Kluyveromyces lactis: one gene and its partners. The protein of the gene in region 6 binds, or shares a complex with, the protein of the main gene of each other region. Links are inferred from orthologs where the notes say so. Each region holds a gene or a part of one and is shown on either strand. Other genes may lie near its edges. The genes, in order: NUP82, NUP133, NUP1, NUP116, NUP120, NUP170 and NUP188.

Region 1 (3,702 bases), on a different chromosome or scaffold from region 6:
TTTGGTGGTACGAACTCCATTGCAACTGTCAATCTAACTAATGCATACAATGGTGTTAGTAGCAACTATAACATATACGTTGTTGGTGTATTAATGTTCTTGTCTAACTACGCACCATCCATCTACTGGGCTCTCTCACTAATTCCTCAAAGCTACAAACAGAAGACACTACGCTTGCAGCATTACTATATCACCGGAACATGTCTAATGATAGCGTGCATTGCACTAAGGTACCACCTATTCATTTGGTCCGTGTTTAGCCCGAAACTATGCTACTACGCGGCCTGGTCCCTCTATAATGTCGTCATGGATTTCGCCATTACCCTGCTTGGCGTTTTGTGAATTCTTAGTTTTTGAATGAAAAATTTCGATAAAATCAACATTTTGTACCATAGAAATTCAAATTGGACTGTAAATGATCATGAACTTTGATAGCCGCAAGGCAGGACAAACTTGCCAAAACTTATTGTTGAGGTTCGAATTGGTATCGGCAACCACATACCCACCATAACAAATCGGTTATTTTTCATATTATATAAAGAGAGAAATGTTGAGAGTGACTCGCGTGCTATTTAACCAAGTGAAAAGCGAGGCATCTGGCCAAGCTGCCAAGATCGTGTCATCATGTCCAGCTGGCACTCCATTGAACTTACAAATCAAGAAATCCGGTAAGGAACCCGTGGCATTAGAAGACAGCGAATACCCTGAATGGCTCTGGACAGTGCTTGATGCCAACGTCCAAGCTGAAAAACTAGCAGCTGATCCAATCAAGCTAAGAAAAAAACAATTAAGGATAGCCAACCGTGCCAACATCAAACAAAATAACTTCTTAGCAAAGATTTAACGGACCCACAGTATGATTCACGCCTGTAAATATATATACATATAAAAATGACATAAAGACACATATCTAACATAACTTTTTGATATCTTTCGTACACTTCCTTTTCTGCAATACTGGATCTGCTATAGGTATTTTTTTTTTTTTACTATTAAAGTTCAAAATATTCAAAATATATCGACGATGAACTACTCTCACGCTTCTTGAAATACACGTAACACAGATCAACTGGCGATCTAACTGTGGTACCTTCTCTTCCATAACTTTAACTGCCGGATATTGAACCAATATAGTGGGATGTTACTCTTCAATACAGAAGATTTGAAGGCAATCTTCCAGGAAGTGTCTCTGAACCCTTCCGACCGTCTTGTCTGCAACAATTCCAACACTATTTATTTATGGCAGGACAACATCTTAAGAGTGCAATCAGACCACGAAACGCAATACAGGAGTTATAATGTGGAGCTTCCATTCGTTCCAGAACAAATGGTCATCAGTCCGTCGGGGGGCCTTGTAGCATTTCATGCGAACAGCGAGCTCTATGTCATGGAAGTGAATGAGCAATCTAGATTAAGAAAGCATTTCAATACCAGTCTAGGGATAAAAAAACTATTATGGCATCCTCTGGCTACTTATGGGTTATCTTTCGTTATTTTGCATGATGATAGTACAATTCGAATTTATGATCTTGAAGACCTAGAACCCGAATCTATCACTGTTTTCAATCGTAAATCGAGATCATTTGGGTTATCAGACCATGTGGAATCAGTTTGTGACATTGCATTTGATCCAACCGGTTTGACACTTTATCTGCTGAGCTCCTTCAATTACTGTGACATATATGCTATCCATCCGTGTCTACCAAAGAATTTTTCCCTACGCAGTAATGATACATCAAATGTCACATCAAGGACGAAAAATGGTTCTTTAGCGGATTACATGTTGCACAAATCATTGTCTTTATACAATAGCCTCGATAAACAGCTAAAGCTGATATCAGGTTCAGATCCTGATGTGGAATCCGATTACCTCACCTTAAAGCATGATCTATTGAAACAAATTCAATTTTTCGACAACTATAAAAAAAATGATGGTATAGACACATTCACGAGCAAAGCAATCAGGAACTCTGTACCACAGGGCCCGTTCATTATAAAAAAATTTCCGACAGCTTTGAATGCGAAAGAGGTCACAGGCTTGACAATCATACCGGTTGGAGAACGTTTGGGCCTTTTGAATCTTCAATTTATAGATGGAACAAACGTTGTGTTGTTCTCCGATTCTGAAATTGTCATGAGTTGGAGTTTACGCTCCAATACTACATTCAATAACCTTAGTGTAATAACAATGTTCAATGCAAAAGGTCAATGCCAACTACTAAACTCCTCGGAACCTAAATTAGTATTTACTGGTGATAGCTCCACGACTATCATGGAAATGCCATGGTTGGAACCATTGGCACAGTGCATAAGGCTTCATGACTTCTCTATCATTGATGATGTTAAGTTTGAAAATAAAATAAGAACAGTTTCAGGAACTTTCCTCGGTGTTTTATCTACCTTGTCTGGTGATATTCTTTACAACGGCAATTCCTTCAAGGTCATCGAGAGTAACGACAAGAGCACCACACAGAAACCCATAAACAGAACCGATGAAGTGAAATATACATATAAACCATCGTTGCCAACGTCTGGAAAGGAATTGGATATGCTTTTGACGAAGTATAAAACAGAAGCCAATGGATTCATTTCAGGCATACCGGACTCTTTGGCTCCTCTCCCTTTGAAGAACAATTCCAATGAACGTCAATTGGAAGTGGTTTCTGAACTTTACAAGGAAACCATGAAGCGCGTCAAGTTGGGACAGATGATTTTATTTAGAATGTTCAACAAATCCAACGAAGAAGTGGCTGAACTCCATCGCCAATTAAGAAAAACCAACGAGATCGAAATGTTGAGAAATAAACTTAACGGAAACTTGGGAGACCTCCAAGAAAGATATTCCAGGTATGAGGAAAAGTCCAAGACGTTGGAAAAACGACTTGACAAGTTAAAAGAGACATTCTCCAGTATAGAAAATAACGAGAAATTAAGAACAAGCAGTATCAGCGAGGCCGAACTAGTGTGGTTCAAAAGTATCAAAAACCAGGTATTAAAGTTCAATAACTATGTACATCTGACAAACAAACTTCGCGAAGAACTAGAGTTTTTGGACACACAGCTTAGATCAACTACTAAAGGAGACGATTTCTTTTCCGAGCTAGAATTTAGTTCCCTACAACAAATGTTACTGAACGACAAAAAGGTCATCAATTCTTGTATGAATGAGTTAAGCGCATCCATTGAAGATCTAGCGGTATAATAGCAATCACCATCTACATATCTTTTTTTTTTCGTTTTTAGTTTTAAAACTGGCATATACCTTACTATATTATGTGCTACTTTTTATATCATTTCATTATGTGAATATGCTACTAACCGAATTTTGTTTTAACGTGTGAATGGCGCTCAAAAATCGGTGACTCTTCCGTTGAAAGAATAATCACCATGCCTTAATGGATCCTGCTTTGGTCCACCAATTTCTCCTGTTTTAGGATTCTTTTCGCCTTCGAACTCTGGTATAGTCTTCATAAATTCTGGAGAAAACCCACCAATATCGTTCTTCAAGATTGGCGATTTCACCGATTCCATAGTATGATCCGATTCAAACTGTGCATTATAAGAATCAATAGCTTCTTGAGAAGACGCTAGCTTCTGCAGCCTTTCAAACTCTTCCTGGTCTTCCTTTGGTAATGGTGGTGGACCTGCTCTTCTTTCTTGAAATGTTCTAATTTGATTCAACCTGACAAAGGCTGGTCTTAG
Region 2 (3,929 bases), on a different chromosome or scaffold from region 6:
GATAGGTGGTAAAGTCTTTGAATAGTGGGTTGAGAGTTGATTCTTGTAGTTCTTGGGATAGAAGAATTTGCCCATCGATGAGATCTAATTCGGTTTGAATTTCGTTTAGCTTTTCAAGATCTTGAACTTCCGCGGCAAGAGCTGTTAATTTGGCAATACTCAATTGTGCCTGTCTTTGTTTCAAATCTTGACCCAGCGATTGAGTTCCAGTAGAAATACTCAACAAAGTTGTAGTTGCTTCGTCGTATTTATGGCAATATATGTTTCCAATCCATTTAACTTTGCCATACTCGGGACATTCTCCTAAGAACTGGTCCAAATATTCTGAATGGGTTTCACCAAACGATTCGTAAAGATCATCCCATAGCCCTTCCTTGATATAGTAGGAAAATAAGGATTTTGCAAAGTCGTATCCGTATTTCTGGAAGAATTCATCGTATAGAGAGAATGCGGTAATTTTTGGCAGAGATTGCAAAGTTTCAACTAAGCCTTCAAAGTCTTGGTAAAAATCTGTGATTAGAATTGAATCCTGAGACCTGTTAACATCCCTAAGGACCCTATTCCAAAGTAAATGATTTTCTTCGAAAAACTGTTTATAACTAGAATCAGTAATGGCATTTGCATCAATCCACATGGTTATTTGCCTGACCATATAAAATAGAGACTTAACCAATAGCAGTAATTCCTCTACAAATTCTGACACAACGGCAAGATCTTCAGAGGCATGCCTTAACAAGAAGAAGATGTCATTAAGATTTTCTATTATGCTATTTGTTGTGAACCAAGGGATATTTTTTGATACATCATCTGGGCTCATCTGGAAAAGTCCATACCTGTAGCTGTTTTCACATTCTTCTAATATGGAATGATAAACTAGTTGATTTATAAGCTTTGCGATCTGAGATTTTAACATAGTTTCATTTGTGGATTTCATTAGGTCTTTCAAATGCTTCAAAAAGGCGCCCAATAATTCTGGAATCTTAACAATGCCGTCTGAGATAAAATCAGAATCCGATTGATAGGAACTTTCTGATAGTACTGTCTTCCAAGCTTGTGAAATAGATGTTGGTTGTTGCGGTAGTAAAGAGTACAAGCTTTCCAAACATTTTATCATTTCAAAATCAGAAATCAAGTCCAGTTTGAATTGGGAAGATGTTTGATCCAAAAAATTATGAGCAACAAATGTGAGAAGTCTTTCAAAAAGTTCGCTTCTTATTTTTAAGTGTTTCATGGGGTTGTTAGCAACAGGCGGTATGTGGTTTGATAATGCATATTTAATCTCATCACTGGACATTTGAATATCTGTTTCAATTTCTTGTGGTTGTAGATCTAGATTGTCAGGTAAGTTGAAGTCTAGTAATGAATCCGTTGATTGTCCTCCAAAATAGACGTATTGATCCACATGAGACTTTATGAATCTAATTTCTTGGAAGTCAGAGTTTTCGTATTTTTCAAAAGTCTCCAACTTTAACGCACATGTTCTTCCATCAGTAATGTATAAGGAACTTGAATTACAATCGTACCCAAGAACTTTCATATCTTTGTTAAACCGTATAATGTCCTCCCATTTCCTTTTAAATGGATAATTAGAGTCCAATTTGGAACTTGTTTGAGTTAGGACAGCAGCATCAGAGAATAAAGTGTAAACAGACGTTATCGGTAAATGTTCCTTGGTGTATGCAGTTGGGACTATAAGTCTTGGGGCAAATTCATCTGATAATGGTCGCGTGTATGTGTTTAATCTGTAAGTAGAGAAGATAGCGAAACTGTTAGTATCTTCATCCACAATGATGGTTGATAGTAAATAGTGCGTTTCGTTACTTTCCGCTAAGAAACTCAAGAACAAGTATGCATCCGAGTCTCCTGATAAAGGATGACAATCGAGTAGTTTCAGTGTAGATGTTGCCAAGGGGAAATGCTCTAAGACTGCCTGTGAAATTTCAGACTGTACATTTAAATCGATCTTTTTGTAACAATTCCCAACAGATGAAAGGTTCCACACCTGATATCGCCCGCCCTGGGTTAAAATAGAAACTATTCTTTCTCCTTTACCGCTGATTTCGCCCAATTTGAGAGATACCACTCTCTTTGATTTGGACATGGATGAAAAGATTCCGACTTGACATTTTATTATGGTTTGTTTTAGCGATACAAAAGGTTTCCCGTTAGCATCTCTTATAGTACAAAACTCAACACGCCCGTAATTTGTCGAAAGTAATATTCCAGCTGGTTCTGCATTAATCAAATTCTCTACATATTCACCGTCACGTAGTTTTAAAACTGATTTATGACGTTTGGTTTGCGTCAAGAAACTTGCCACTTGACTCACAGTATCAACATCTTCATAGAATTGAATGTCACCGGATCTACTGTTCACTAAAAATAAGCCAGGGCTTGATTTCAAGTCACGTTCGAGCACACTAGGCCACGTAAAGCAACATAATGGAGGACGGGACCATGATTCATATTCCTCGTCATGTAATGGAATCCTTACAAAACTAGGGTGTGTTTCAGAAGATAAAAATGGCCAAACGTAAACATTATCAGTATCGCAGCATAAGGCGTACCCAGATTTTGCATCAACGCTACAACATAATTCCACATTACTGGGCAAAAAACTTAAACTTGGCGCTAACTTCGATACCTTATACTTCCCATTCTCTGTGATAACTTGTTCATTCGAAAATTGTACATTGGTGACAGCAGAACCAGTTGTCGTTTCCTCAGCAGAGATTACTGAATCCTCTGGTGCTGCTGCTGGTACACTAAGCTCTTTCCTGAGCTGAAACAATTGCTTCATCTTGTACTATCTTGACACTGAAAAAAAAAGCCAAAAGAATCACCAAATGTAAAACTTTGAAATTCTAATCTCAATTGATCCACTACCTTGTTAGCCGAACCTAGCTTGACCTTGCATTGCTGTAATTATAAAGGTAAATAGACTCTCTGATGCTCATTGTTTAAAATCTTGGTCAATGTTTCTGTTTTCATTGTCGCCAAAGAAATCGTCATAAGTGATGTCACGTGAAACATTTTCCGCCACGTGACTTTGGAATAGTTTCTTTTCACTTATCAAGTAACTTGGAAAATTAAATCTTTAAACTGGAACAAATCGATGCGATGAGCTAAATGCGATGAGCTAAGTTACAGTCTACATAGTTCATCTTTTGGCTCAGATTTCTATCCTATAAGGTGTAATTGTTGTGATTTGTATCAAGACACCGTAAACACCAGGATGATCAGAACAGTAAAGCCTAAGAATGCCCGTGCTAAAAGGGCTTTGGATAAAAAAGAAGCAAAATTGGTTGAGAATGTAAAGCAAGCTTTATTCATTCCTGGTCAAACTTCTACCAAGTTGTTGCATGATTCAATGGTTGATTTGAGTGCGTTGAAGAAGCCTGATATCAAGAGATTCTCCAAGAAGAACAACATCAGACCTTTTGAAGATTATGAACCATTAGAGTTTTTATCTGAAAAGAATGATACATCGCTTATGGTGTTGAGCACACATTCTAAGAAGAGAAGAAACAATTTGACTTTTATTCGTACGTTTGGGTATAAGATCTATGATATTATCGAGTTGCAGATTGCAGAAAACTATAAACTTTTGTCTGATTTCAGAAAACAAACTTTTAACGTTGGGTTAAAGCCAATGTTCAGTTTCCAAGGTGCAGCCTTTGAACAACATCCAGTTTACCAGCATATCAAATCATTGTTCCTTGACTTTTTCAGAGGTCAGAATACCACTTTGCAAGATGTTGCAGGTTTGCAACATATCATTTCTATCACTGTCCAAGGTGATTTCCAAGACGGTGAACCATTACCAAATGTTCTATTCAGAGTGTATCACTTGAAGACTTACAAGTCCGAACAAGGTGGTAAGAAGTTACCTAGAGTGGAATTGGAAGAGATTGGTCCAAGATTCGATT
Region 3 (4,161 bases), on a different chromosome or scaffold from region 6:
AATGTAAAGATGTCGGAAGGAATGATATCATGCAATAATTGTTACAATTGAGATGCAAAGCCTTTGTTTTCCTTTATTAGCCTCTTCTTCTTCTCCTACCGGGCATAGCAATTTTGCGCTGCGGTGGAAATGGTGCCCCTCCTTGAGGAGTTGAAGCCTGCGCATTGAATATGTCCGCTGGATTCTGCTGACCAGCGGAAAATATGGACGATGGATTCTGTTGCGGGGTTTGGGATCCAAATACTACAGAAGGACTTTGAGATGGTTGACCACCAAAATTAAAATTGGCAGCGGCTGAAGGATTAAATGTGTTTGTCTGCATAGAATTACCGAAACCGGTACCCAATGCTGGTACCTGGGGAGTGGAAGAAGCTGAGCTTCCGCCGAATGAAAAAGGTACATTAGGCTGATTGGAACTGGTTCCAAATGCAGGTGAACTGTTGGTAGTGCTTGGCCCACTTCCAGTAAAAGTAAATGGTTTTTGATTTTGTTGTGCAAAAGTAAATGTAGTTTGAGTAGGCTGCGTTACACTTATCTTATTCCCAGGTTGAACGACATTATCAAATGAGAATGGGACAGGAGGGTTGCTTCCACGAGCAGATCCAACATTTGATGAATCTGAAAACGGAGTCGGAGTAGTTTGTCTATTATTATTTTTAAACCCTGTCAAATCAAATTTGAGTCCGCTGACAGGCTGGCCACTGGTGTTCTGACTTGCAAACGAAGGAATTGCATTGGAAGCTTTTTCAATTGAGGGCTGCTGGATGGCAGAGGAACTTCCAAAAGAGAATGCAGGTTTCGAACTCATATCACCTTGAACAGGTTTCTTTGTGGTCCCGAACGAAAATGATGGTGCAGCAGCTTCTTTTGGGGTTGTATCAGAAGGTAGGGCTGCTGGGGTGCTACCAAAGGAGAATGCAGGTTTTACAGCAGTACTGACGGCATTTTTGGCTTCCTGCTTCTCTGTCGCGTTGTCTGCTGAAGGCTGTTGGTTGAGAGAAAATGCTGATGTATTCGAAGCTTGCCCAAAACTGAAAGGTTTAGCTTTTTCCTTCTCAATATTTTTTGACGAATCATTTCCTACAGGTTTACCACCAAAGCTGAATGATGGCAGCACTGGTGCTTCAGTTTTTGTACCATCTGGTCTCTTTGCGGCAGGTTCAGTACTACCACTGGAACCAAACTGAAATAGTGGTTTAGGTGTATTAGTTGATTGAGAGGTACTCAATGGGGTCAGATCTGGAGTAGATGATTTTCCTTTGTTGAAGCTAAACATAGGTTTTGACATTTCACTGACATTAGTTGGTTCGCCTGCATCTTTTTGGCTGCCAAAACTGAATGAAGGGGCGGGTTTAGCTATCTCTTTGCCTTCTGAAGATTTTCCAAAACTAAATGTAGGTATATTTGATATCCCAGTTGTATCCGCACCAGTGAAGCTGAACTTAGGGAGGCCGTCTTTAGCCAGATTTTCAACAGGTTCGGGGGCGGATTTCTCAAAGGGGTTTTTGGATGTTTCAGCTTTTTTGGTCTCTTTCTTGGTTTTTGATAAATCACCAAAGGTGAAAGAAGGAGCACCATCTGAGATTTTTGTGCCTCCATTGGCTGTAGCTGTGTTGTTTTTTTTTACCGCATCAAAAGAAAAAGCAGGTTTCGATGGTTCAGTTGATGTTTCCAGCGACTTAGAACTTGTGAAGGGAAATGGTTTAACAGTGTCCTCAGTAGAACTAAATTCTTTCTTTTTTCTTGGTAACTCTTCAGAATCCTGAGAAGGGGCCGTTAATTTCTGTTTATCATTGTTGAATAAATCCAATTTGGTATTTCCAAAAGATATATTTTTGGATACTGTTGGTTTGGTAGGTGTATCTGTGCTACCTGGGAAAATAGAAGTACTGTCTCTATTCATAAAGTCAAATCCAACACTTGGGCCGTTAGCGTTTAAAACTTTATCTTCTGATATTTTTTCCTTGACGATAGGTTTCAATGATAGTGTTGGTGCAACTACTTCTTGTGCTATCTTTGGATTTTTTTGCAATGTCTTTCCTTGTAATAACCTGCTTTGAACATCAGTTAAGCCAGATCCACTAGGCACTCCTGTTTGATCAAAAGTATTGACATGTTTCTTTGAAGAGGTACTCCTTTTTAGCAATGGATGTGGTAGTTTAGGAGATTCCAAATTCCCCATTGAGGCAGATACTGGTTTCGTCTTTTTGTCGTTTTTCAAGATATCATATTCTGATAAATCGTATTGAAAATCAGCTTTCCACTTCTTGGACTTTGGGTTATCGGAAACCCTATGATTTTTCTTGTCACTTTGTAGTTTGTTGACGAGTAAATTCTTTATAGTAGCATTTTTGCCGTCTGTTAAGCGATATAGGCCGTTCTCTGCTGATTGTAATTGTCTTTGTAAAAGTGGGAATTGCCGAGCACGGCGCAGTTGCTGCATCCTTAGTAGCCGCAATCTTTGTTTCGGTTCTATCGTTAGTACTGGAGGCCTTACACCATGTTCAGAATCCCCTTCATACAAGAAAATATTCGGTCTTTCATCATAATTGATATCATCAATGCCATTGTGATTTAACGGGTGATCGGTGATTTTTTCGTTATTCCAAACCAATTCCTCGTAACCGTCGAAGCCACGTTTTTGCCTCTTGATGACCACTGATCCTGAATCACTGATATCTTCATTGTGCGACCTTGTTATATTCGGATCTTCGCTATTCGTATCGTCATGCTTGGTAAATAATGATGCCAAAGTCGATGAAATCGATCTTTTGGGTTTTTCCAGATATGATGCCGACATTATTCTATAAAGTGGCCGTGATATGCGGCAAGTGAACCAGAGTCCAATTCAAGTTTTCGATTCCTATTTCTTTCGAAACTGCTGTTTCTGTAACTTTCTTGCGTATTAATAAAGGTATTATTCGATATTTGATAATTCGATATTTCAAGTCCTAACATTCCTAGCTGTTATTTTTTTCCTCTTACAGGGTTATAATCACTTTGTACGGTTTGACACATATTGACCTAAACTAACCAAGGCGTCAGTATAAGAGAGTCTAGCTAGGAGATGGACATAAATTTGCATTAGTTCCAAAACATCAATATGGGGCTCGACTATTATCCAAAATTTATTATAACGATTCTACATTATGAAAGTTTAAAGATTTGCCGTCCACTTAATACAAAAGTACCCTTTTTCGTTATTTTAGCTTTCAAGTTTTATATAGAACTCAAGTTTTGTTCATTTTTCTATACATAAGGCCTGAAAGTGACATGAGGGATCGAAAAGAACAAATTGATATATAAGTAAAGAAAAACTTAACGTTAAACTGCAAGAACGCACAGGATAGAACGTAGTGTGCATCAATGCCATGCTTAACAGTACAAGTGTTCTATTCTTGTGAAATTCAGATTATCACGTGACCGATTTCTCCCCATCCTGTCATACATTCGTCCCATCTTGTTTTTTTTTTTTTAGTTTGGGGAAACCTTGAAGAACGCGTCATGGAGGAAATCAAGTAAAAAGTGCAACACCGAATGTGGTTATGAGGCTTCGACACCACAGAACAGACCGCTTGATTCCGAAACGAAGAGGCCATATCGGTCAAGGAAAATCCCAAAAAACACCTTGAAGGGACAGAAGACTGAAACGAACACATAAGTCTAAATCCGAAAAGAAAAGAATCATTACACTAGAAGAAAATGGGCAGTGGAACATCGCACGATGCCTTCGACTACGAGTCATGAAGTGGGAGATCGATAAATGTCATAAATGTCATAAATGTGCTATTTTTATGGCTGAGCTCTGCTAATGGTATCATATAGTTTTTTTTTTTTTTTTGTAGTTTTCAATATTCCCTGATCGAATCTGGGTTGCCTCGAGAAAAATGTGATATTAGAATAGCGTATATCCACTGTTCAATTGAAGAAAACTGAAAAATTACAAACGAAGGCATTTTACCTTTAACAACTCGGTATCGTTTTTTGTTTCCTTAGGTGCTTTACTAAGTTATTTGATCGTTTGACGTGAATATCCTGAAACCACATTGGTCGTTGTTGATTTCTTCTTAACAAATCCGCTATTTTTCTTTATTTCAATTGGAAATAGGTTGGGAGAAAGCTGTTCAGTAATCTTTCAATAAGCCATGAGCGAGACCAGAA
Region 4 (4,194 bases), on a different chromosome or scaffold from region 6:
TTAGGCTGATGAAAAGATCGGTGTTTGAAGTTCCTGCTGAGAGGTTATTGTGAAAGTGTCAAATGATAACGCACATTAACGGGCTGCCTTTTGATTCCTTTGCCCACAGAAGTGGTCCATTTTGTTTCAGAGATTTAACCACAATTTGTTAGTGTGTTATTGTTATCTTGTTGTAGTATATTTTATGGAGGTTATATATATATAAGGAATAACCTTTCAGTTGTTGACAAGGCCTATGTAATAGATTCGAGGTTGTCTGTATCTTGTATTGATAAGTTAAAAAGTGTAAGAAAGACGTCTCATAATAAGGAGTAACACAGGATACCGACCTCCGAATAGGCTTAACAAGCGCCTACTACAATATACCCATTAGCGTCCCCGTTTGACAATATTCAACAATGTTCACAGACAATTTTGGAAAAGCCAAAGATACGCAGCAGGTTTCCCAGGTGATAGTACAATGCTTCAAAAGTTTAAATTCAGTTCCCAGATCGACTCCAGACCTAGAGCAAGACTATTGTGATTCTGATGAAGAGGAAGATTTGATCGTGGATTTAACGACAGGGTCGTTAAAGCCCAGGAATTTGAAGAATTATCTACTTATGAATGAGGTAATGAATGGCCTAGAGAGCCTATGACGCTATGGTATTAAAGCCAATAAGGGGGTTTCACATCTACTTTATTGTGTCTACCGAAGATTTGCATACCAGAGAGATGCATCTTTTAATGCCTTTACTGCCTGGCTTTATCTCTCATTTTATTTTCATTTCTTTCGACTATATAGAACATATATACTTTTTGGGTAATTTAACAGACGGAATTCATTATATATAACATATTGGAATTAAGTGTTTCAAACAGGGAGCCAACTCAGAATTGCATTAGCAGCTGTTCCCTTGTGCTCAAGTAATTACTGCTACATCACAATCCCCCAAAACTACGTATCACTACGTACGCTATGTCACTTAATACGATTTTAGGTCATCCCTCACCTCTGAAAATTTCTTTATCCTTGAAGTAAACAACTAATTGATGATAAAGAACTAACGTTTTCTAAGTTGATGCAAGCAATGTTTCGGCTTATATGATTTGTCGTATTTGTCTTTCAGTCATACTATCAGCAACTGAGACCAATAAAAGTATTCATACAGTGCGTAAAGTGGGAAATTTTTTTATAGATCGTTAATTGATTAGTGTGTTTCTTCTTTCACAATCAGAGAACAAGGACACTCACTCATCTTTAAATTATTTCTCAGAAAAATACCATTGAACCAAAACGCTACGACTTTGGTATTATCTACTTAGAGATTACTTGTGTCATTGAAGGACATATTATTTTATTCCTAGTCAGCTTTTTCATCAATTGTCACCTCACTTGATTTCCTGACCCACTGATGTTTGGTGCTTCTCGACCGGCATTTGGACAGACGAGTACTTCTCCTTTTGGCCAACAAACTCAGTCAACAACCAATGCGTTCGGTCAACAGCATAGTGGAACCACAAACAATCTGTTTGGATCCAGCTCTGCCAACAACGCGCAATCAGGGTTTGGTGGGTTTGGTACCGGCGGCGCTAATACAAACCCTACGCAAACTATAAATTCCCCATTCGGTATGTCACAACAGCAAAATACAACTACTTCTCCGTTTGGCGGGGCAGCAGCAGGAGCAGCAGCAGGTAATTCATTGTCGAACCCACCATCCCTGTTTGGTGGTAGCCAATCTAGTGGTACAGCGACAGGCGTTCTCTCTTCTGGACCTCCTTCTGGCACTGGAATCAAGCCATTCCAACCTTATACGGAAAAGGATGTGTCAACTGGATATCCATCGGTGTTTCAATCTATTACTTGTATGCCTGAATATAGCCTTTATTCGTTTGAAGAGTTGAGGTTCCAAGATTATCAACAAAATAGGAAATTTAGCACCACTGCTGGAGGTCCGACAGCTTCTGCTATTGCTTCGCCATTCGGTCAACAACAGACAAATGGTACTAACAACACTTTTGGTTTAGGAAATAAAAATACCATCAGTGCAGGTGGCGCAACTCCCTTTGGTCAACAGCCTGCAAATTCACCTTTTGGCCAGCAACAGCCTGTAAATGCATTTTCACAACCTAATAACACTCCCTTTGGCCAACCACAGCAGCAACAGCAAACTGGCATGTTTGGACAACAGCAGAATAATTCTCCATTCGGGCAAAATACTGCTTCAAGTTCTTCTCCATTCGGTTTAAACAAACCGGCTACCTCTGGAGGTCTGTTTGGACAAAACACCACCAATAATAATTCCGCATTTGGTCAAGCCAACAACTCATTATTTGGTCAACAAAACCAACAGCAAAACCCAGGTAACGCATTTGGTCAAAATACTGGTTCAAACACCTTTGGGAGCACTTTCGGCCAAACAAACACCAACAATCAACCGGGTGGTTTGTTTGGACAAAATAACACCACAGCGGCCAATACTGGTGGACTTTTTGGTCAACAAAGTAACGCCAATAACGCATTTGGTCAGAATAATAACACCTCAGGTGGATTATTTGGATCAAAACCAGGTGGAACTACAGGTGGCGGTTTATTCGGTCAGCAAGCACAGAACGGACCCTCTCCTTTCGGTCAACAAAATGCTGCTAATTCTACTCCATTCGGTCAGGTAAACAATACTCAGGCGGGTGGATTGTTTGGACAAAACAACACCAATACTGGCGGAGGTTTATTTGGACAGCAACAACCATCTAACACAAACAGTACAGGATTATTCGGACAACAAAGTAACGCAGCTAGCACTGGCGGTCCTTTCGGACAACAAAATAGCAACTCCATGAATCAACAGGGCGGAGGATTATTTGGTGCGAAGCCAACTACCGGTGGCCTGTTTGGATCAAACAACCAAAGTCAACAAGGTTCAACTGGGTTATTCGGAGCTCAAAATAAAACTGTAATGGGTGGTAGTTCCGCGCTGTTTGGTCAAAATAATCAGCAACAACAATCTGGCGGATTGTTCGGACAAAGTAATCAACCGTCTGCAACGGGGGGGTTATTTGGTAATCAGAACCAACAAACACAGCAACCTAACACCGGTGGTTTATTTGGTCAGCAGAACAACAGTATGGCAAACAACACCGGAGGATTGTTTGGTGCAAAACCAACAGGAACTACTGGTGGATTATTTGGCCAAAGTAGTCAGCAGCAGAATACATCTAGCGGATTGTTTGGTCAAAATAACAACCAGAACAACACAGCAACGGGGGGTCTATTTGGTCAAAACAACCAGCAACAAGGTCAATCATCGGGTAGTCTCTTTGGTGCCAAACCTTCCGGCACTAACGCTTTAGGAGCTACCAACGGCGGGTTATTCGGAGGCAACACACAACAGCAGAATACGGCTACTGGTGGTCTATTTGGTGCCAAACCAGCTGATAGTGCGTCAACATCTGGTGGCCTTTTCGGCACTAAACCAACAGGTGGTTTGAGTAGTACCACTGGAGGTGGATTATTCGGTGGAAAACCTGCCGGAACTGCACCTTTTGGCGCAACAAACACGAACAATGCCTCATCAATTGGTGGCGGAAGTTTATTTTCTGCGAATAAGCCAGCAAATACTGGTTCGACAGGATTATTTGGATCACAAAACAACACTTCTGGTAATGCAAATACAGGTGGTTTATTCTCTTCATCTTCCTTGCAACAAAACCAACAAATGCAAAACCAGCAGCAAGCAGCACAAGCGAACTCCAATCCATATGGTACGGATGAGCTATTCTCCCGTGTTATCTCTATTCCTAATTCCATTACTCAACCAACTAAGCCTAGTGCCACAATGGTTTCTGCAGACTTGAAGAAAAAGAACTCCCTCTCCGCAGCATACAAGCTGCTTCCAAAACCCTTGTTTGACTCTAAAAAGTCGGAACCGAACTCCAGAAAGGTTAAAATTCATCTAAAACTATCAAAACCCAAGGAGGAAGACACTAGTTCGACTGCTCTAACAAGAAAGCCTATGGATTCTTCAATTTTCACTGCATCTACTGATGAGGCTATTTTAACTACCGGAGAACTCCTCTTTAATCCAGACAAAAAGTCTTTCAAAAACCTTATCATCAATCGCCAAAAGATGGAAGAAGATGATACCTCATCTGGTGAATTGAAATTCATAATCTTCAATACTGACGACGGACCACAAAAGAAAATGGAACAGA
Region 5 (4,031 bases), on a different chromosome or scaffold from region 6:
GCTCATTGAACCTAGTTTGAACTCTAATGAAAAGGCAACCAAGGCGTTTCACTGTGTGCCTAACCTCTTGGGTATTTTTTGGTTGAATAAAACAAGGTTTATGACTGTGGATGAAACTTCCGTCAAGTTGTGGAACGTAAGCCAGAGCGACCCTGTCATATCTTGGGATGGCCTCAAGGATTTAGAAGGCTTACAATCTGTAGATTTCAAAAATAAATGGCTAATTTTGACTTTCGTTAACGAGATACGGGTCTGGGAAATTAAAATCGATGACTCCAGTATCGTTAAGGTTAATGAATTCGTCATTTCAGTCCCCAATAAGATTCTCAATTGTTTGTTGGGATTAACGGAAAAATCGCTTATAATATTAAATGGTAGTTCAAAACAAAACGTAAAGATTTCTATCTTCGACTTTCAAGGCTCCCTTTTACAACAAATCGATCTTTCTCATTCGCTGACCCAATTCCATCACACAAATAATGAATTAGCATTGAACAGGTCGACATCAAAATTGCTTGTGAGATTCGATACAGAAACTCTGATTTACTCTTTCGATCAGAAGAAGACCATTTTAGTGTCTTCTACCGCAGAATCTGCTATTTCCTCGATTTTCCTCAATGATTTGGAGTACACTGTCACCGCTTTGAAGGATGGTTCAATACTCGTGAAGTCAATCAAAGAAGATGGTAAAGTAATTAGAAAATACAATCATTATGAACACCCTGAGAAGGTTCCCGCTGAAGTGCAACCAATTGCCATTGCATCCACAGTCATAGATGATACCCCTGTAATCGTTTCTGGTGGCTATAACGGTGTGATACGACTAGAAAAAATTATGAGCTTATGAACGCAATGCTATAGTAATCAAAGCTGCCGCTATAATTCAAAGAGAAATATAGGAAAATAATCTATAATGCTCATGTAAAACAGTACAAGACGAACGTCATCGTCTATAGACATGGTATCCCCAGAGTACCTATATAATCCTCCTCACAACATGGAAATTATTGCCCAAGCGACCTTAAAATTCAGTTATAAGTTACCCGGATAATATTGTTTTCATGGTTACAACAACAATGAGAAAAGACATGTTGAAATCAATCTGACATGAAGTGGAATCGGTAAACAGAAGAGAACAGCCACCAGAGAACTTCAATTACAGGCTAAATCGGAACATAAACCTACAACATTACTATTGAACAGCTGAGAGGTAAAGCTGAAACTGCGAAAAATGACCAGCTTTTCTCGTCTGAATACAAATTTACTACAATTAAAATCGAAGCACTCATCAGACAATGCCCAACATTTATACGTCAATGGGAATGTTGGATCATCTACAGAAGAAATAACTTCCGTAGAGTACAGCAAACTGTTGCAACTAAAATTAATTGATGAATCGTTGTCCTTCCAATGGTGTAATAATTACACTGTTTTGAGTATTTACTCCATGAAGGAAACTTTTGCAAGGAAAACCATATATATCCACTTTCCAAAACCTCTTCTGAACAAATGGTTTACTGCAGTCGTATACGAATCTAGTGAAACGACCTCCAACCTATGTTTTGATGTGATTTTAAAGGATGGAATTTTCATCAACCTTTCATTGCCTATCGATTTTATTCTATCGAGAACTCGTCAAAATGAGTATCCTGAGAATTGGTTGAAGGTTTTAAACCCGTATGATTTCTCAGTACGTCCTCCACAGTGTCTATTTCATGTTGATAACACCTTCAGTGTAGTATTTCTAAAAGATGGTGGTCTTTTGGGGTTAAAACGTATTCCGCTCGAAATATTAAACGATTTTGAATTGCAACCTGTCCTATTCAATGATAGTTCATACTTTCAAAGTTTTACAAGAATGTTTTCAAAGTACGATAACCACAACTCTGCAGTGGTATCTGCAGAACTTTTGAATGACAAGTATCTTGTCACATTAACGAATGATGCAACCATTAAAATCTGGGATTTAACCACATATCAACTAAATGCGCATTTCGATCTAAAAGAGAAAAACCAGCAGGTGAATTATGGAGCTGCCGGAAAATACATGATAATTTGTGGATCTCTCCTGTTTGTATACCTACCTGCAGGTAATGGATCGTTCCAAGTCATTCAATTAGAAAATACGCATTCTTCAAGAATCTCCTTCAAACCATTAAACGTTAATATACCTCTCAATCTTTCATCTTATTCAATATGGTCTTTAATTGACATTCAATTAGTAAAATCCTCAATTGTCAAACAATCGGGACTCAACTTGGTTTTATTATGGAAAAGTAACACAGTGACCAAGCTACAACTACTCTCCTTCGAAGACTCTCTGTATAGTAGCTACAAATGGATTGATGGTAACAGCACATACCTCTCTGATTTGCTTGATGACTCAGACCTAATAACAAACGGAAATATGGAAAAGGCTCTCCTCAATCTCAAGTCACACTACTCACAATCAACGTACGATGACGCACAAAAGATACTGAATAAAAATAATGTCATGGTGCAGATAAATGATCCTCATAATCAAGATTATTTGAATAATCTAGAAGCTCTTTTGAAAGAACTTCATAAACAATATCAGGAGCCTTCAACTCTAACTATTCTTGATGATGAGATAATTGTTGTTAACAGCTTACACATGTATCATCATTCCACGTATAAGTTAGACTCACAACTTGAAACAATTTTCTTTAACATTTTTGAGAGAAAGGAACCCTCGTCTCAACTAGAGCTTTTCTTAAATATCCTGCATGGTTTTTCAACAACCATTACATCTGAAACGTTAAATAAGATATCTGAGAAGTTCTTAGACATGGTAAATGGTTCAATAAATCCCTCGTTATCATTGAAAAATAAAATTACCATTGTCTTTCAAGATTGTCTAACAAATGGTTTCCAAAGTGCTAATTTATCAAAATTGTTGGAAAATCTAAATTCTATTGATGTGGTGGAGGTTTTATCCGAATTTATACACTGTGATTTGAAAGTAGGTGCTTTTTCAGTTATTGATTTATTAGATACTGACATTTTCTTATCTGTTTTGTCTATGGAATCCTTGAAGCAGACACTCTCCATTATGGATAAGTTTATCATTGATATATTGTTAGTATTCACTATTGTGGATATCAACTATGAAGTTTTTGCAGAGAAGTTGTCTAAGTTAATTACCTTGCACTTCAATATCTCATTGTGGCTCCAAGTGTATCAAATAGATAAATTATTGGCAATTTCTGAGACCTTCGGTCATGTTACTAAATACAATTATGGTGCACAATTGAAATCTTACAGCGATATAACCGACTTTACTACATTAATGGTTGGTTTTGTCAAGAATTCTCCAACAGCTGAACCTCCAATATTTACAAGAGCCTTTTCCGATTTCATATTGAACGGCGAAGATTTGACTTGTGCAAAGCAATTCCTACACTTTGTTGCTAAGCCTTACCATGTGTCCAAGGATCCAGTAGAAGAACTACTATATGCTCTTTCTTTGTTCAAATGCAATGAATATGATGCATCTATTGAAATATTCTTGGCAAATGACTTCTCTGATGAGCTCTCACTACCTAAATATCTGGAGGTTACTGAAAATCACGTTTGGTACAATCTCCTTCATGCGATCAATACAAAAGATAAACCAGCATACTATTATGAACTTTCAGTTCTATGTTCCAAAGCTTCATCGTATGCTAATGCTTTAAAAACCATCAAAAAATCTATATCACTTGATGGTACAAGAGCAGATCAGTTGATACAATACTTAGATACATTGATAGTATTTGGCGATTATAAAGAAGTCCTGGATGTATTGAGGTTGGAACAAAAAGTCCTTGATATAAGCCTAAGAGAAAAATACTATTATACACTGCTGAGTGATCAAAAGTACAGTGAAATGTTCACTGCAACTTTACTCCAAGAATGCTACAATGCAAACATTTCCAACGGATCCATACTATTATGTGTGAGTGATTATAAAATTATAGCTTCAATTTTATCATCACAAGTTTCTCTCACTGATTGGAACAGCTATAAAA
Region 6 (2,059 bases):
GTCGAATGTCTACGATGCTATTATTTTCTATTCTTCCACACCTTTTGCTCTAGATATATACCGAAGCAGTATTTGAAATCTTTCTGATATGTTTTCCCTTCTATTTATCCTATTCTCATATTTCTAGCTGCAACAGTTCCCTAGATCTGGACAAAGCGTTGCTTATAATACCTGCTGATGAAGTCATATGTTGCCGTTCCATAATGAAATCTCTAGGCTTTTTTTTTTCACTTCGAAAGAGGTTCTTCATAAATATACAATTTTATATACCTCTTCAGCAGATTGCAGGTCGAAATTCGGTTTAATATATTCTTTCCATAACCAAAGACTTATCGCAACATCATAAGAAAGCAATATTGATATTAGTTGTTTTGTTTATTAAGATTGGGGTGAAAATGTTATTTATCAATATAGTATACAAAGGGAAATAAACACCACAACAGACGTTTTAAACTAAAGCTGTTCTTTTTTTTACCATCTCGCTGAAAGGTTAGAGTAACTCAAAACACACTATCACCTGTGCGCTTTTTGTAATTTTCCAATGGGTCATTTTCAATTGAATACTTGTCGAAGGAACGAATTTCTTCTAGTGGTATCAAATCTCTCAATTTTCTGTCAGAGTGATACCATTCTTTAATCAGCCAAACCATCTCTTGTTCGTAAATATCGTTGGAGCTGGTAGTTGTTTCAATTAAATCTTTGAGAACATGGTACATTCGGTCGTATGAGACGCCAGCTTGGATGAAAATAGATGCAATTGAACCTGCTTTGATGTGTTCTTTTGGAAGGTTCTCATATATTAGGCTACAGATGTGTGGGAATAAATCAACAACTGGGAACACAAATTCACTGGTACGTACATTCTTACCAACACGAATCACTGTTGATGATGCTAGACTAATGAAAGTAGTGCTTTTTTCCAGTTCATCCGTAGCATTGTTCTCTGATAAATGTTCCTTGAAAGAACTGAAAAGCTCTTCCCATTTCGATATGATTTCCTCATGATTTCTAAAGTCACTGACTTTGAAAATGAGCAGACAAATTTCATAATAACTCAATGGTGCGGCAAAGTCATTATAAAGTTCAGTCACGGTCAAAATTTTGCCTTCAAGTTGTTGCAAGGCTTCATTTCTGACAGTCGAATCAATCCTGAGGTCATCCTTGAGAGCACGGACAATTTCATCTTGAATGCTTGCTACATCGACAACTTCTTTTATCATGCCAGATAATTGAATCATGGCTTGCCTTTGGCTTGGCGGAGAGACTCCATTACAGAAAACGTTAGCTCTTGACAAGTACTCAATTCTGTTTTGTAGAGGAATATCGAAATCCGAAATAGCTAATGAATACAGAATTTGAGCTGCTTCCAAGAAATGCGATCTTTTGGATTGGTAAACCCAAAGAAGATTGGAAATTTCTAGGGATTTCGCTGCTTTTTCTTCTAAGTATGGTAGAATAAAATCTGAGTCTAGCTGAAGAAGCTTTTCTTCAGACTTTTGCTGTACCAACCAATCATACATTTGATAATGGAATAATTTGTCGTTATATTTTAAAGTAACGTTGTAAACCTCATCGCGGGTTTTTTGAATATCTTGATTGTTAACATTTTCAGGCAGAGCAGCTAGTTGGTCAACTTTGATTAAAGTTTCGAACACAATTTCATAGATCGAAACTCTAGCATTGTAGTATTTTTTCCTTTCATCGTGTTCCAAAGATCCATCTGCAACATATTGAAGTGCCAATTTACCCTTGTCCATCGCATTGGCAATATTCAACAAAAATTCGACGGTTTTTGGGTAGTAATTAAGTTCCAACATGATACCTACAGCCTCTTTTATCTTATCTAAAGACACATCATCAACTATTCTTTCAAATAACTTTGCTGCATTGGTTAGGTGATAGTTGAGTGTTTCTTGATCTCTGAGTCCTATTTCTTTTGCTTTTCTCAAGTGCTCGACAGCTCTAAAGCCAAGAACATCACCGGTGGAACAAAACGATCCACAGCGTTCTTGAAGTGCAGTAGCGATGTATTCAATAGATCCACCTTTTGTAATACTTC
Region 7 (2,521 bases), about 860 kb from region 6:
GGTAAGCCATTACACGTTTCAAAAGTTATGAGAAAGGCTTATCTAGAAAGACAAGAGGTGAAGCGTCTGCTTGCTTCCAGAAAAGAAAACCCAAAAGTTGTCGGAATATACCCATTGTCTGATCAGATTACCCCAGATCAAATTCTTGCTTTCATTACGGAGAAAGCTCAAATTAGACCTCCGGATATTACGAAGGTTTTGCTGGTCTCTGATCATGAAGGTGCTTTAATAATAGCGGACAAAGAAGCAATTACCGCAAAAGTTTCACTTGCAATCAATGGATACAAGTTCAAGAACCGAATTTTGAAATGTGTTTCTGCTCATGAACTTTCCCTTCATTATCCCAATGAACACAAAACAACCTTGAATCAACCAAAGCACGCTGTTGTAAAGGAAATTAAATCACAGCAAGCGTCACAAAATGACAAAAAGTTGAGCAATGATGACTTCAGAAAATTATTTCTATCTAAATAATATTAATACTATATAAACCTACCTGTTTATAAATCTGACATCAAGGATGATTGAAGTTCTGAGATTTGCTTGGTGATAGAATGTAGAAGCTGATTTCTATAGACCTCATCTTCCATCATCTTTTGTTTGTCTGGGGTTGTCGCGATGATCCGAGAATTCATATACTTTGGGTGAGTTAACAAATGTTTCAATACATTTGCCAAATCGTTTCTCTCAGAGCTAGTGTCTAAACCAGGGAACAACTCTATTATCTCTTCTTCGTCAATGACCTTCAATTTGGAACCATTAACAGACAAATAACGCTGATATTCAAGTTTATCTAGCATTTTCTGCAAAAGAATTATCTGGGAAGTCTCCTGGATATATGCTTGAGTTATGGACAGTGAGTCAGACGACCAGCCCCCCACAGCAAGATCTATTTGTTTGGAGAAATATGAAACAAATAGACACACTTCCGAAAGTATTCCAGATCCGAATTTACTTAATAGTTGAAGAATAATCGATATGATGCCATTGGACCATATGTTATGCAATCTTGGTGATAATTCTGGGCGAGCCCCAGATTGTTGAATTGACACCGAAATCGGACTTTCCAAGAACACAGAGAAGAGCCCGTTATCTATAATCTTTTGTGCAACTTCTTCAATTGTGACAAGCTCAGAAATGAATGACAGGGTTAGCTCCGCGAATAAGGGTTCATCATGAGATCTGAAAAGATATGAACTGTAGTAAAGATTCAAAAGTGATTTTAAGGTTCCAAATTCATTTAGCGAGGATGCCAATACAGCGTTAAAGGATGTCGAAGGGTTCAGTTCTTTGATTTTTGTGAAAAGGGATAGTAATAGTAACAAATCTTGAATTTTGTCGGCAAGATTTGGCACAATAACTTTTTTACCTTTGTTGGAGGCTATTGTGAATGAGAATAATATAGAAGACAAGATCAAATTAACACCTTTTGAAAAAGCTAACTCGAAGACTTCCAATAGACTATCAGAATATCTTTCTGAAAACATAGGGTAAGGTTTTGCCAAAGTTAACAACATCAAAATCGAACGAAGAATAGGTCTATATTGATTATTCTTATTCGATTGTGCGATATTTCCGAGGTAATCTACCTCTTTAGACTTTAAAATTGCCAAAAGCTGTGACAATAGAGTTTCAAGCTTATCCTCAGGTATCTTCATAGAAGTTTGTAAGAATGAATACAGTATGTAAAACACCAATTCGATTCTTAGGAGGTATATTTCAGAGAAGATAGGTGCCTCCACACCATGCTCAACATTTAGTGCGAGTAGTTGGGTAACAATATCGACATATGAAGCTTGTAAAGGCTTTGGAGTTTTCTTAATGAATGCGGTCAAAAGAGCTCCCCATGATTTTGCTGCTGAAATTTGGAAAGACACATATTGTAAGTTGATAGAGCTTTTTATAACTTGTTCTCTAAACCCTGGAGTGGACCCGTTCCCTCTCCATTTTTCTTCACAACAGAAGAACTGATCAAGAAGTTCAATGTCATATATGTTCGCCTGGTACGCCTTACCGATTCTATAAAGTGGTGAAATAGCGAATTTTTCTATATCCAGATGAGGCCAAATCTTTTTGAATTCCTCTGCGAGAGTCAAATGAAGAGTTTTATCATATCCGTCTATAGAAAATATCCTCTTAACGATATCAACAAGTTGGGGTCCATTTAACATGTTTGTTATGGTGGAATCTGAAGGTGAAGAGGTGAATAGATGAAGGGCAAATATTTCAGCAATCCTCGCTTGAAGACGATAGTGACTGGATAATTTAATCGTCGCCTCAACCGAATCGGGAGCCAACTTGTCCTCGAACTTTTCTAGCCTTTTGACGAGAAAATCTATAAATTCTTTATCTGCTGTATTATTCCTTGCAGCAGCCCAAGAGTTGAATGCATATGAGATTGCTTCAAGAAGTCGAGAAGCCACAGATTCCGGGTAGCAATCTAGCTTCAAGACATTTTTCTTAAGGAGAGAAAGAATTGATGTTTCAGAGGCGCTATTCGATGGTTCTGATTTTTTTGGGG

What was found.
Region 1: NUP170 (region 6) and NUP82 share a complex: the UniProt entries of both Saccharomyces cerevisiae proteins name them as parts of the nuclear pore complex. The link is inferred for Kluyveromyces lactis from reciprocal best matches to the Saccharomyces cerevisiae genes NUP170 and NUP82.
Region 2: NUP170 (region 6) and NUP133 share a complex: the UniProt entries of both Saccharomyces cerevisiae proteins name them as parts of the nuclear pore complex. The link is inferred for Kluyveromyces lactis from reciprocal best matches to the Saccharomyces cerevisiae genes NUP170 and NUP133.
Region 3: NUP170 (region 6) and NUP1 share a complex: the UniProt entries of both Saccharomyces cerevisiae proteins name them as parts of the nuclear pore complex. The link is inferred for Kluyveromyces lactis from reciprocal best matches to the Saccharomyces cerevisiae genes NUP170 and NUP1.
Region 4: NUP170 (region 6) and NUP116 share a complex: the UniProt entries of both Saccharomyces cerevisiae proteins name them as parts of the nuclear pore complex. The link is inferred for Kluyveromyces lactis from reciprocal best matches to the Saccharomyces cerevisiae genes NUP170 and NUP116.
Region 5: NUP170 (region 6) and NUP120 share a complex: the UniProt entries of both Saccharomyces cerevisiae proteins name them as parts of the nuclear pore complex. The link is inferred for Kluyveromyces lactis from reciprocal best matches to the Saccharomyces cerevisiae genes NUP170 and NUP120.
Region 7: NUP170 (region 6) and NUP188 share a complex: the UniProt entries of both Saccharomyces cerevisiae proteins name them as parts of the nuclear pore complex. The link is inferred for Kluyveromyces lactis from reciprocal best matches to the Saccharomyces cerevisiae genes NUP170 and NUP188.

The regions. Positions count from the first base shown.
Region 1 is NC_006042.1:156,109-159,810, reverse strand, and holds NUP82 (linker nucleoporin NUP82), read left to right. Parts: upstream 1-1,138; coding exon 1,139-3,202; downstream 3,203-3,702. Other genes in the region: mannose-ethanolamine phosphotransferase LAS21, read left to right, coding at 1-342; MRPL37 (mitochondrial 54S ribosomal protein mL54), read left to right, coding at 548-844; SDH8 (Sdh8p), read right to left, coding at 3,349-3,702. UniProt on the Saccharomyces cerevisiae protein: Functions as a component of the nuclear pore complex (NPC).
Region 2 is NC_006037.1:703,054-706,982, forward strand, and holds the start of NUP133 (Nup133p), read right to left. Parts: upstream 2,801-3,929; coding exon 1-2,800. Other genes in the region: rRNA-binding ribosome biosynthesis protein RPF2, read left to right, coding at 3,236-3,929. UniProt on the Saccharomyces cerevisiae protein: Functions as a component of the nuclear pore complex (NPC).
Region 3 is NC_006039.1:1,148,350-1,152,510, reverse strand, and holds NUP1 (FG-nucleoporin NUP1), read right to left. Parts: upstream 2,801-4,161; coding exon 77-2,800; downstream 1-76. Other genes in the region: alpha-1,2-mannosyltransferase KTR1, read left to right, coding at 4,146-4,161. UniProt on the Saccharomyces cerevisiae protein: Functions as a component of the nuclear pore complex (NPC).
Region 4 is NC_006042.1:2,465,853-2,470,046, forward strand, and holds the start of NUP116 (FG-nucleoporin NUP116), read left to right. Parts: upstream 1-1,394; coding exon 1,395-4,194. Other genes in the region: KLLA0_F26686g (uncharacterized protein), read left to right, coding at 399-638. UniProt on the Saccharomyces cerevisiae protein: Functions as a component of the nuclear pore complex (NPC).
Region 5 is NC_006039.1:1,080,757-1,084,787, forward strand, and holds the start of NUP120 (Nup120p), read left to right. Parts: upstream 1-1,231; coding exon 1,232-4,031. Other genes in the region: FAR8 (Far8p), read left to right, coding at 1-847. UniProt on the Saccharomyces cerevisiae protein: Functions as a component of the nuclear pore complex (NPC).
Region 6 is NC_006041.1:1,830,246-1,832,304, forward strand, and holds the end of NUP170 (Nup170p), read right to left. Parts: coding exon 501-2,059; downstream 1-500. UniProt on the Saccharomyces cerevisiae protein: Functions as a component of the nuclear pore complex (NPC).
Region 7 is NC_006041.1:969,499-972,019, forward strand, and holds the end of NUP188 (Nup188p), read right to left. Parts: coding exon 501-2,521; downstream 1-500. Other genes in the region: U6 snRNP complex subunit PRP24, read left to right, coding at 1-474. UniProt on the Saccharomyces cerevisiae protein: Functions as a component of the nuclear pore complex (NPC).